2 linked regions of the Drosophila melanogaster genome follow. The protein of the gene in region 2 purifies or fractionates together with the protein of the main gene of each other region. This does not show direct contact. Each region holds a gene or a part of one and is shown on either strand. Other genes may lie near its edges.

What was found.
Region 1: the proteins of Rif1 (region 2) and Pp1-87B purify together in Drosophila melanogaster (affinity purification with western blotting; 2 studies listed by BioGRID). This does not show direct contact.

The regions. Positions count from the first base shown.
Region 1 is NT_033777.3:12,422,824-12,427,540, forward strand, and holds Pp1-87B (protein phosphatase 1 at 87B), read right to left. Parts: upstream 3,095-4,717; 5' UTR 2,866-3,094; coding exon 1,957-2,865; 3' UTR 1,788-1,956; intron 1,694-1,787; 3' UTR 798-1,693; downstream 1-797. Other genes in the region: CG17202 (uncharacterized protein), read left to right, coding at 36-47, 110-643; NANS (N-acetylneuraminic acid synthase), read left to right, coding at 3,789-4,124, 4,231-4,717. UniProt on the Drosophila melanogaster protein: Is essential for the regulation of mitotic chromosomal segregation as well as regulation of chromatin condensation during interphase.
Region 2 is NT_033778.4:15,863,800-15,871,205, forward strand, and holds Rif1 (Rap1 interacting factor 1), read right to left. Parts: upstream 5,349-7,406; 5' UTR 5,208-5,348; coding exon 5,106-5,207; intron 5,021-5,105; coding exon 2,539-5,020; intron 2,478-2,538; coding exon 2,191-2,477; intron 2,103-2,190; coding exon 723-2,102; 3' UTR 510-722; downstream 1-509. UniProt on the Drosophila melanogaster protein: Regulates the timing of initiation of DNA replication. Functions in copy number control by promoting the underreplication of DNA, which is found in many late replicating euchromatic regions of salivary gland polytene chromosomes.

The sequences.
Region 1 (4,717 bases), on a different chromosome or scaffold from region 2:
CCCACAGCCACACCGCACATCTCCATTTTGCAAAGATGTCCTTTAAGGTGAGCTTTTGTCCAAAAACTGATTGCCATTGGCTAAACAAGAGTCTCCCGCAATGACACAGCCCATTGACCCGAAGCGCGACGAGATCCGGCGCTATCTAGAGCGCGGCAGCGTCCTGGACTCGCTGACCAAGCTCTTCATACGCGTGATCAAGGAGCGGCCCGAGAATCCCATGGACTACATCCGTAACCACATCGGCGTGGTGCGCCACCAGCACGACAAGTACGAGCGCCTGCAGCAGGATCTGCAGCTGGCCAACGAGGAGATCCAGCGTCTGCGCGCCATCATCAACGGCATCAATCCCGACGTGCTCCAGGGTCATCAGCCAGTGGCTTCAAGTGAAGTAGTGGTCGCAACGGAGGCGCCACAGACCGTGGCCGAGTCCACTGAGGCGGCGGAGCAGCAGCAGCAGCAGCAGCAGCAGGAGAACGGCGAGACTGAGCTGGAGAAACCTAACGAAAGTTCGGCGGACGTTGCGGAGATAACTGCCGCTGTGGAGGCCTGCCAGATTGAGGGGAACTCGGTGGTGACCACCGATGAAGCCGCACAGCCAAGCCCAACCGTCCAAGCTGAAGCCAGTGGCTCCAGTGAGTAGATCTCAGATGACAGCAGCACGTGCCAGCACACACCAAACGTAAAAACAAAAACATCCCATTTAGAACGCATTCATTTAGAAGAAATGTTAAGTATTTTCCGGAATTTACATGTAAATAAAGCGAAATAAAGCATGAGCGCATGCAGCGTATTATGGATTTTTCAAATGTGTTTATTGAAATCAGTTTCATAATTCATACACGTTTTATATCATTTGTTTATTAATACAAAGGATTATTGATAATACATATTAATAATAGTTAATTTTTAAAAAACACATCCTTAAAATGACGGGAAGCGGACGTTTGAATAGCTGATGAATGGTAAGGAGTTTTAGGGACAAACTAATATATTTCGCTGATTTTCTTGCAGATATTTCTCTGGCTGGCTGGCTGGCTGGTCCATTCGGTCGGACTGCATTGTGGACGAACAAAAAAAAAACTGATTCAAGGTCGAAACTTAGTGCTTATAATTCCTCTTTATACTTCTTGGCAAGCATTCGCCTCCACCTCCTCGGTTCAACGATTTCCCCTCTTCGATTTTTTGTTTCTTGTTTTGTTTTCACTTGCTCTATACTCTTAAGGCCAACGAGCACTACAGGGCCCCCACATCTGTATGCTTTGTGACCGACTGGCGTCCAGTCGCTCCTCTGCTGCTCCGTTTCCATCTAATCTGCATGGTTATGCGCTTGGTGCTCTGCTCGAACGGTCAGTTGATTAACCTAGTGTTTAAATTTTGGACAAAACCTATAAAAGCGCTGGTGTTCAAATGTGTGTACATGTGTGTGCGTGGGTGAATGGTTGGTCGGTCGGTAGATATACATATATATATATATATACGGGGGCTATTACAAATAAATATGTGGCTTTTAATCATGGTATTTGTCAATGTGTTTGTAATTGCGATTTAAATCTCAATGGGTGTGGGGTGGAAGGGGAAAACTGCAGTCATCTGCTGGAAGGGATGTCTCTGGGGATGTCCTTTGATCGTGGCGCTGCTATTCCATACCAAATTAATGGTGCAATTTCTTGTGGATTTCGACTCGCCCCGGCTGCCGATGATAAAAGTGACCAAAAACAGAGATAAGGTTGGGGTGAGAGTGTGATTCACTAGTTTGTTACTCTGCGTCAGCAGCCCATACTTACGTTTCATGCATCATTTGATGTGTTGTTTCAAAGGATTTTATTTCTGGTTGATTGTGTGGTTGGGTTTGTGGTTGTTTTTGTCGTGTTTATCTTTTGTATCTTGTTTGGATTTCTTATTGATCTGTTTTAGATAGAAAAAGACTGCTCGTGGTGCTGCAGTTGTGTGATATTACTTTTTACGCTTGTCGGCTGGCTTGAGGATTTGGAACGAGCACATCAGCGTATCGTCCACGGACATCATGGCGCCGGCATTGTCGAACTCGCCGCAGTAGTTGGGCGCCGAGAACAGGGTGACCAGCATGCGTTTGGCAAAGAACTCGTACCCATCCTCGACGACTTGATGGGCTCGGCAGATGAGATCGAACTCGTGCTTCTGCAAAAACTTGGCCACCACCTCGGCACCGAAGGTGAAGCTAACGCCGCGGTCGTTTTCGCCCCAGCCCATGGTATCCTTATCGGGATCGGACCACAGGAGATCGCACAGCAGTCCCTGGTCGGGCACATCGGTTGGCCGCATAATGCGACGGATCTGCTCCATGGAGGTCAAATCGGGACTGAGACCACCGTGGCAGCAGAAGATCTTCTCGTCGACAATGGCCGCCACTGGCAGGCAGTTGAAGCAGTCCGTGAATGTCTTCCACAACTTGATGCTGTAGCGACGCTTGCATTCGTCGTAGAATCCGTATATGCGATTAATGCTGGCGCATTCGTGGTTGCCGCGCAGCAGGAAGAAATTCTCCGAGTATTTGATCTTGTAGGCGAGCAGCAGGCAGATCGTCTCCAGCGATTGCTTGCCGCGATCGACGTAGTCGCCGAGGAACAGGTAATTCGATTCCGGCGGAAAGCCGCCGTACTCGAACAGACGCAACAGATCGTAGTACTGTCCATGGATGTCGCCGCAGATCTTCAACGGTGCCTCTAGCTCGAGCAGAATGGGCTGCGACAGGAAGATCTCGCGCGACTTCAAGCAAAGTCCCCGGATCTCGCCCTCCGAGAGCTGTACGTTTTTACCTGGCCGTGCCCCACGCACCTCGAGAAGTCGCGATATTATGCTGTCGATATTCATCACGTCGCCCATGTTTGCGTGCGAAAGTGTGGATCTGGTGCACTAGTGCTGCTGTTGGGTGTCGAGGTTACCGCGAACGATCGTTGGTAGCGCCGAAATAGCCTCGAAATCTTTAATTTCCGAAATCTATTTCTGCTAAATACTTTTCACAGCTAACAAGTATGAAAATTTCTTCGTATGCTGTTGCGTGAGTGCGGGCGGGATGGCGAGTGTGCTTCTAGCTGATGTTGCCACACTGCCGGAAGTCGCGGATATGGCCAGATAATAGACGCCATCTTATCTAATCGATAACATGCAAATATAGTGCATAATCGATAACGAAGTTGCTGTAATATTACTCTTATTACATTAAGGACATTTCCAATCCATTGCAAGAGTTCCGCAATAGCTCTACTTTTATATTTTCATTCGAAACGGGTCTTCTCGACCCTATAGTGGCTCGAAACTGCTGTTAGTAATCGATTAAACGCATGGCGTCCAGTTACTCTATTTCAGCGGTGTGGCAGCCTGATCAGGGGGACACTAGCCATCCCGCTTGCACTCAGGCACGCCTGGCATGACTTACTGTGGAAAAGAGATGGGAGACTGATGCATTTGGCGAGGCTATTCGATATACCGGTAACAAGGGGATATTTAAATACATTGGAAATTCAAATAAGCCAATAAGAATATTCGTTTACAGAACATAGGTTAATTCATTTTCCTTATTGGAATAACTTCCACATGAGTTATGATTTAAAATGCCAAATTTCCCTTAAATTCTCACAAAACTAAATAATATATTGATAGATATATTAACAATCACACTATGTAAAAATTTTGTATGAAATGTGCTCATGTCTTGTTATCGATAATTCGATACTCTATGCATTTCCTGCCTACGCCCGCTAATCATTTAATTAACTGTTAAATAGGCGGGTTTCAATTTAATCAAAATGCTGTTAAACGATATCATAAGCGGAAAATTAGTTGATTCCGTCTATATTATAGCGGAAATTGGCCAAAATCACCAAGGTTGTGTGGAAACAGCGAAGAAAATGATATGGGAGGCCAAAAAAGCCGGTTGCCACTGCGTCAAGTTTCAAAAATCGGATTTGCCAGCAAAGTTTACGAGATCCGCTCTAGATCGCGAATATATCAGTGATCACGCCTGGGGAAAAACGTACGGGGAGCACAAGGAGTACCTGGAGTTCTCCAAAGATCAGTATCTCCAGCTGCAGGCCCACTGCAAGGAGTTAAATGTGGACTTTACGGCTTCCGCCATGGATGAGGTTGATATTAATTAATTGTTAACCAATTACTACTACTAACAATTCCTTTTTTCCCTTGTTTCTTGCTTAAATAGTTATTAATGTGTGTATATGCTATTTTAAACAGAGATCGTTGGAGTTCCTTTCTGCTCTAAATGTTCCCTTCATCAAAATTGGTTCCGGAGACGCAAACAACTTTCCGCTTCTCAAAAAGGCCGCCAATTTGAACTTGCCCCTGGTGATCTCCACCGGAATGCAGACTATGCAAACTGTGGAGAGGATTGTGCAAACTATGCGGGAGTCAGGAAAAGAGGACTACGCTCTAATGCACTGCGTTTCATCGTACCCAACTGACCCAAAAGATTGCAGCTTGCAGTTGATATCCGTCTTAAGGACACGCTTTCCCAATGTGGCAATTGGGTACTCGGGTCATGAGCTGGGAGTGATCATTAGCCAGGCCGCCGTCTTGCTGGGAGCACGCATAGTGGAGCGCCACTTTACGCTGGACAAGAGTCAGAAGGGCTCCGATCATCGCTGCTCCCTAGAGCCGCAAGAATTAAAAGCTCTGACTACAGCCATCACCAACTTCAAACTCTCTTCAGTTCCCATGCCTC
Region 2 (7,406 bases):
CAGCATAATCACAAGCACCTAAAAAGCGCAACTCTAAGACTTTGGAATGCCCTACACCTATTCAGCACCACTTTATCACTCAGAATAGTCGTTTCAATTCCATCATGATTACCTGACAATATTTGATCAATGTACCATTGAACTCGCTGAATAGCTAACACGAAGTTAACACAAATCATACTAATTATTTATCTGCCTGATGGGAAACGTATCTGTCACGTCACTTTTGACGTACTGATAAGATTTCCCTAGATTATATGGCAATCGATTACGATTTTAGGTAACATTGTCTGCAGTGTGGACTTTTGAGTATATGAACTCCCAGAGTTAAATACACTAATTTTAATTCGAAAACAAGTTAAAATAATTGTCTGGGTTTTCTTATCAAATTCGTTCCTTTTGCTGTTTTCCTTTATCTATAGGAATTATGATCGATGTACTTAAAAATAAATAAGTTCTCCCACCAATATATATATATTATCTAATATATTGATGACTTTCTACTTTTTATAATAATAAAATATTAAATTTATTGTAAGAATATGAAGCAAGTTTTTGCAGCAAAACATAATACACCAACGGGCATAATATAAATCTTAAACATAATGCAATTTAAACTTAACTATCTAGAACCAACTAGTTACAATCGAACTTCCCATACTTAATCGAGTTCAATGGCCAAGTGCTTAATATTTCATTCGTAATTTCAAGTCAGGTCCAATCTATAAGTTTGATGAGGAGTCGGCCGCGGTCTCGGCCACGTTGTCAGGGCTTCCAACGGCGGATACGACGCCCTTGGAGATGTGAGTGGAGGTGCTGTTGTTCCGCTCCCGACGCGTACGCATCAGAAGGTCAATGAGATCGAGGAGCAGGTCGTCACCGGGGCTGCACTGCACCATCAGTTGTTGTACGAAGGCCAGGCGCTCAGAATCGGAACGTGGGCCGCTTTTCAGAATTTCGGGTACCTGGGCCAGCAGCCCGTTGCGGCAACTTGCGCTGATCTTGGACTTGGCGCATACGTACTCCAGCACAGAGGTCGGGTTCAGGCGGTCGCACACCACCGACGACAGATTCTCGCGCACAGCGTGGTCCAGGAAATCCTTGGAGTGGTTCTCCGACAGAGTCTCTAGCACGTTGGTCTTAAGTTTTTCGTTTGCCGTCATTTGGGCGGACAGAAACTTAGCCAACATGCCGGCGCTCTTCAGCGGACTCTTGTCAAAGTAGCGCTGCAAAACCGACTCCAGCGGTAATTGCGCCACCGCCAGATCAAGAGCGGCTTCTGGATCCATGATGGCTAGATCCTGGCCGGCTGTCTCGAGTTCAGACTCCACTTCCATCGCCTTGACGGGTTCTTCGGATATGCTAATGTTGTGCGCGTTGCCTGTGTCGTTCCACTTTAAGCTGGTGAAAGCATCCTCCTCGGGTGCTTCGCCAGTGGATTTGTCCAGGCTCTTGTCCGTCGTCGCTGTTCTGGCCGTCTGTTCGCTAGCGAAACGCTCTATTTCGATTATGCTGTCTAACCGACCACGTCTCCTCAACGCCTGGCGCATCTCGGTGGTCTGGGCCACCTTGTCCATAAGCAGACAGCGTTTGGGCTTCAAACTGCTGCGCGTCTCCTCAGCATCGCGTAGATACTCCTTGGTGACGGACACCGGTGGGTCGTGGAAACTAACTCGCTTACGCTTTAGAGCCGGCGAGTCCAGAGTAACATCATCGAGACTTTCGCATCGTAGCTTGCGCTTCAAGATGCTTACGGAGGGACTGGCCGATGGGGATGGCAGTCGTTTGGAAAACACCAATAGATCCTTCGAGGGAGGTGCCTGAATCGGTGTGGAAGTGTGATCCGTGCCCGTCAGCTCGTTTAGCTCGCTGGTGGGAGTGGACACCTGCTCGGCGCGATCCTGGGCACGGGCCGGCGTCACTTGGTGAACCAGGCGCGAAGTAGACATGCACGCATACGGCGAGCCGGAAGCAGCGTCCAGCTTCTTGTTGCGAATCATATTGATCAACTGAGCACCGCGTCCAGTCAGATGTCCCGTGGGCTTGGGCCGCAATGTTGGACTCGAGGAGTTGTTTGTCTGCTTGCGATCAGGTGGAGAGCTCTGCGAAAAGAAGGCGGAAATTAAAAAAGTTCATAAAAACATTGTAATAAAGTAACCGTTTTAACCAAGTCTAATGCGATTTACTTACCAAATTGTATATTCGCGTGCCTGATTTCTTTGGAGACATCTCACCGGCAGCCACAGCCCCCGCAGAAGCGGCAGGATCTCCGCTGCTTCCAGGCAGTTGGGTAGAGGGTACAGCTTCCAAGGGTACATCAGGCGGGGTCAGTTGTGTTGTTTCTGGAACAGGGTCGGGTTTCTTAACCGGTTCTGGCTGAGGCTCTGGCTCAGCTGCGACTTCCGGGAAAAGATCCTCGCTCTGCGCGATTACCACAACGGGGGTGGGTTTTGCAACCTTTGCCTGCTTAACGGCAGCTGCAAAAATTCAAGTGTTGGGATTAACATCCTTAGCTCACCTGTTACTTGTTTCACGTACCTGCTGTAGATTGAACGACCGGGGACGGTGGCAATTTCTTTGGCGATCTGAGCTGTGGTTCAAACGCTGGCTGTGGCTGAGCCACCTGTTCCGTTTCTTTTTGAGCCGCCCGTGTTCGCGTCTGACGCTTTGGCGGCTCCTCGGCAAGAGAAGCAGCCCTGGCAGCGGCCTCGAGTTCTTTTTGAGCTTGGGACTTACGCCCCGGTTTCTTTCGGATGGGTGTAACTACGTCAACTCTCACTGGTTCCTTCTCAGACTCCTCGCTGGCCGTTATATCGATCACCTCGCCGTTGTCATCCTTGCCGGTTAAGGCCAGCTCACCCTGTTTGCTCTTTGCAATAACCACCTTCTTAGGGGTCCAGGGCTTAATGGAAGCCGAGTCCTGAGACTGCGACATATCATTGTACAGAGCTGGAATGTCCGACTTTTCAGCGAAGCGCTCCTTTTGACGATCCGTCAGCTTCTCTGGATTCAGACTCCACACTGATGGGATGATCACGAAGAGATCATCTGCCTTAAAGAGTTCTTTGAGCTGATTGGCCATCGTCTTCATGGGTAGCTTGCGAAACTTTTCTTGAATTCCCCGCTTCCACTCCTCCAAGAATCCGCCTTCGCACTTCATCTTATTCCAGCACTGGATGCCAGAAGACAATGTTGGTTTCAATGAATCGAACACTACCATTAGTTCGTTTTGCCGCAACTCCACCACCAGGTTGCGGAGGGTGTTTAAACAGGCTTCGAGCGTTTTCTGGGAGGAGGGCTGCTCGAAAATGGTTTGAAGTAGCCCAAAAACGTCCTTATACAAAGGTGCCTCCTTACAGAGTCCAAACTTGATTAAGGAGGTCACATAAGCATCGAAGAGCTCTGCAAAGAGCGGTTCATCCTTGCTCTTTAGGAGGTCTGTAAGTGTGGCTTTCAGGTCCGTCAAGAACTTCTTCCTCCCCGGCGCGTTTTGGCCTGCGTTTACCAGTTGGCGCCATTGATCGCAAAAAGAGGCATCGAAGGAGTTGCTAGCACGCCGTCCCGCAAAGGCAGCCAGTGTCTGAAGTGGCCATAAAAGCCAAGTGTCCAAAAGGGAAGCGTTGTGTGCCACACGGTATTCAAGCGCATTGTTTCGCAGATAGTTGGACAACGCCTGCGACACCTGTCGCCACACCTGCAGCTTGAATGCGAATCCCTCAAAGTCCTCTTCGTCGTTGGCCTGCATCAGAAGCTCAGCGAAGGAGCCCAGCATCCGGAACTCGTTCTGATTGTTCGCCTCGATACGATCGACTGCGAAAATGCATGCGATACTTCGCTGCAGAATTGCTGCCGGAACTTCTGTCTTGGATTTCAGTACAAGTTTCAAGTAGGCCTCCAGAACATCAAGATGGTCGCTTCCAGACACACGCTCCATTACCAAGTTATCTGCGGCTATGGTATTGAAAAGAGCGCGTACAACTCGGCCACCGGAGTTATCTTCAGCCTGCAGGATTTTCTCGATTTCACTGCAGCACGCCACATTGAAGGGAGCAACTGCCAACCGAAACATGGCAAGGCACAGATTCCGCACGAGCAACTGCAGCAGGAGTTGTTCCGCTTCTGTGGCATCGTTCTCGGTAAGCAACTTTAAACCGGAAACGGCAGCGGCCAAAAGAGGTTTCCAATGCTGTTGGAATACCTCTACGCTCATCAGAGGCGAGGGCTGGACCAAGGTCTCCAAGCGTAGCTCTCTCATTAGACGCTGCAACGGTTCACTGGACTCCACGCCCCAAAGGGCCACAAGGCAGGGCAGGGCCAACTCCCGAGCCGTCTGGTAGTTGTGCGCCAGACCCGTAGCCAGATTTCGTGGACCTCCGCCTAGCATAAAAGCCAAAAAGTGCTCCACGGCGCTGTCAAAAGACTTGGGTAACTCGTGGTCCAGGCAGCTGAGCAGATACCACCACACTCGCAACTTGATGCCACTCACGTGCGAGGATCGCGATTGTGAAGTGCGCAGGGGGATCAGCAGCAAACGAAGCCTCTTCGCGGATGTCAGTTCGTCGTAGGCGGCAAAGATCTTGATGAGCACGCGCCAGCAAAGAAATGCCTCCGACCGCACACCATTATCCGGGTTGCGGAAGCCCAATTCAACCAGAGCCAAGAATTTGTTGATATATACACAGCCCCTGAGCAAATCCTCGTCCATGATTTGTACCAGCAGCGTCCATATTTTGTGCCAGTTGGAGTTCTTAGCATCGCGCATCTCCCCGATGATGATGGTGTATTTGTCGACAAATTCACTGCGGATCTGAGGCCAGCACTTGGCCGAGTGGATAACGGACACGTCAAGAGCCACCAGTGCCTCCGCAAGAGCTGCCACGGCACAGTCCTGGATCTTTCGGTCCGCATCGAACATAAGCGGCAGGATATCTCCCAGCCAGAACTCCACCAGTTCGTCATCCGTAAAGGAAGTGGCTATCAAACCGGAGCTTTTGCAGCTGCTGGCCAACAAGTCGATCATCTGGTGGTGCACATGGAAATATAGGTGGGGGGCCGGAGCTATAGTGAGATACATACTTGGCGCTGCAATTGGGTGCCCTACTTACGTTGCAATAATGCTGACGGCGGCCAGCAGCGAGCACTTCTTTCGCGGAAAGCTGCACCGTGCGGTAGGACTGCCCCGCCTGCGCGCCGAAGTCTACATCCATGGCTCGTACGCTGGATGATACGCTTATTTAATTATATTATTTTCTTCCGCCTGCGAACGCCACAAGTTATTTTCCCGCAGTTTTAAAGACTGTCGAAGAAAAAAGCGCGCGAATTGCTATGGCTAGAGGTGGCAAAAGCAGGTCGATATGTCATCGACAAGTTATCGCCGACAGTATGAAAATACCAAAATTGTGAAACTCAGAGTTGCCAGACTTGTGCAACGCCGGAAGTTAAAAATAATTTAAATTTAAAATCCTAGCAACATCACAAAGGACTACCGTTATTATTATTTTAGCTTTTACTCGTTTATTGCTTTTTACTCGATATTGTAGAGCTCAAGAACCGCCGTCCTCAACTGATTTCCGTAAAATAACTTTGTAACTGGCGGGACTCAATTGGATTTTTAAACATTTTAAACTCCCCAATTACAAGCTAAAAAGTATTTAAAACGTGGAATTGCAAATCATACAGAATCTGCACCTTTTATGGATCGACATAGTTGCAAAACACAAACTCGTTTAATTTTAAACATTTTTCTTTGTCAATTTTATTAGGAAATAATTGTTACACACAGAAATGAATATTATAATTGTCATTTCCCCCATTATTGCTCGGGACACGTTCTCTTCCTAATTAATTAGCTGAACACAATTTTGCGGCTGTGAACCGTCGAAAGCTTCGCCGGAAAAAGGTTAAATAAAAAACTGATAATTAAACTTGGTTTAGCAACAGCTATTACACATAATATATATATATATATTTGTCAATAGGTTATACATAAGGTATGCGTTTAATTGGTGCGCATAGTTATACTTGAATAATTAATAAAAATAATACACGTATTAAATATATATAAAAGACAACTAAAATGACCAAAAGGGGCTATTACACATGTATCGTATATGCATATATAATATATATGAATATAAATAGTGAAAAATAGTCAAAAACATTTTACATATACATATAGGGTCATACATACATACAGCATACATATAAGTATATATAGATTAGTATAAATTATTATTATTATGTAGATTTCTTTAAATGCGATTCGATTTTGTTTCGATTTTTAGGTCTAACTTAGGTCGGTAATTGTTAATTGTTAGAGATTTACATGCGACTACCCAGCTTAGATGTTGTTATCCGATTTATGTTTAGGTTTATGTTTCCTCAATTAGTTTAGATTAATTGTAATATTAGTTACGCTTCGATTTGCACACATTTAGTTTAATTAGGACTAATTCTAGGAAAACACTTGCAACAATTTGTTGGAAATTCGTTACACGTTTGGGGCCTTTGTTTCGTTACGATTCAATTCGATTCTTTGTGGTTTATTGGTTTGTTTCTCGATCCTTTCCGGTTCTATCAAAATACTTTATCCTTTGAGCAACTTAGACTAAAGAAGGTTTTCGTTATGCACTTATTATCGTTTACTCGTTTCTTTGAGACAACTGAACGGAGCGTTTAAAACGACCGTTGCAGGTTTTTGTATTTTGTAATGCGTGCGCTTCTGTGCGATTTTACTGTGTTTTGTTTTGTTTAGAACTTTAGTTTAGTTTATCATTATTTATCGTTTGTCATTCGACATTCGTCTGGTTACCATCTCCCAACAACTGTTTCGTTTTCTATCTACAAAAGGAATCTGTTCTACGTTCAATTTCCGAGCTCCTCGACTGGTTCCTCTGGCGGATGACGGATGGTGGGGGGATGGAGGGAATGTATTTGCTGCGGGACTCATGCTGGGCGGGTTGGGCGTTGAGTTCAGTTCAGTTCGAGGGGGCGTGGCACATGCAATGACTTGCTTAAAGCTTGTATACGCTGATGTGATTGAGAATGTCCTACATGGGAGGGGAAAATAGGGCACACAACGTGCGAAAGAAGGAACGGGGAAGAAGTGACGTGGGTCAGCTAATTTCCGGCGGAGTGTGGCAGGGGCTACAGTTGCGTCTCACATAAATACATAGATATCCGGATCGATCGATCGCCGTATTATGGTTCTGTTATTATGTACATCGCCTGGGTAGCTTGCACTAGTAAATTGATATATGCGAATATATAGAATACATGTGTAGCAAGGAAGTGTCCGCATTTGCGAGCACAATGTCGAAGGATAAGATAGATATATAAATGTATATATAAATATATATAAGGAAGCGGAAGGGGACGAAAGCAAATCGATGCCGCTGTGTTACATA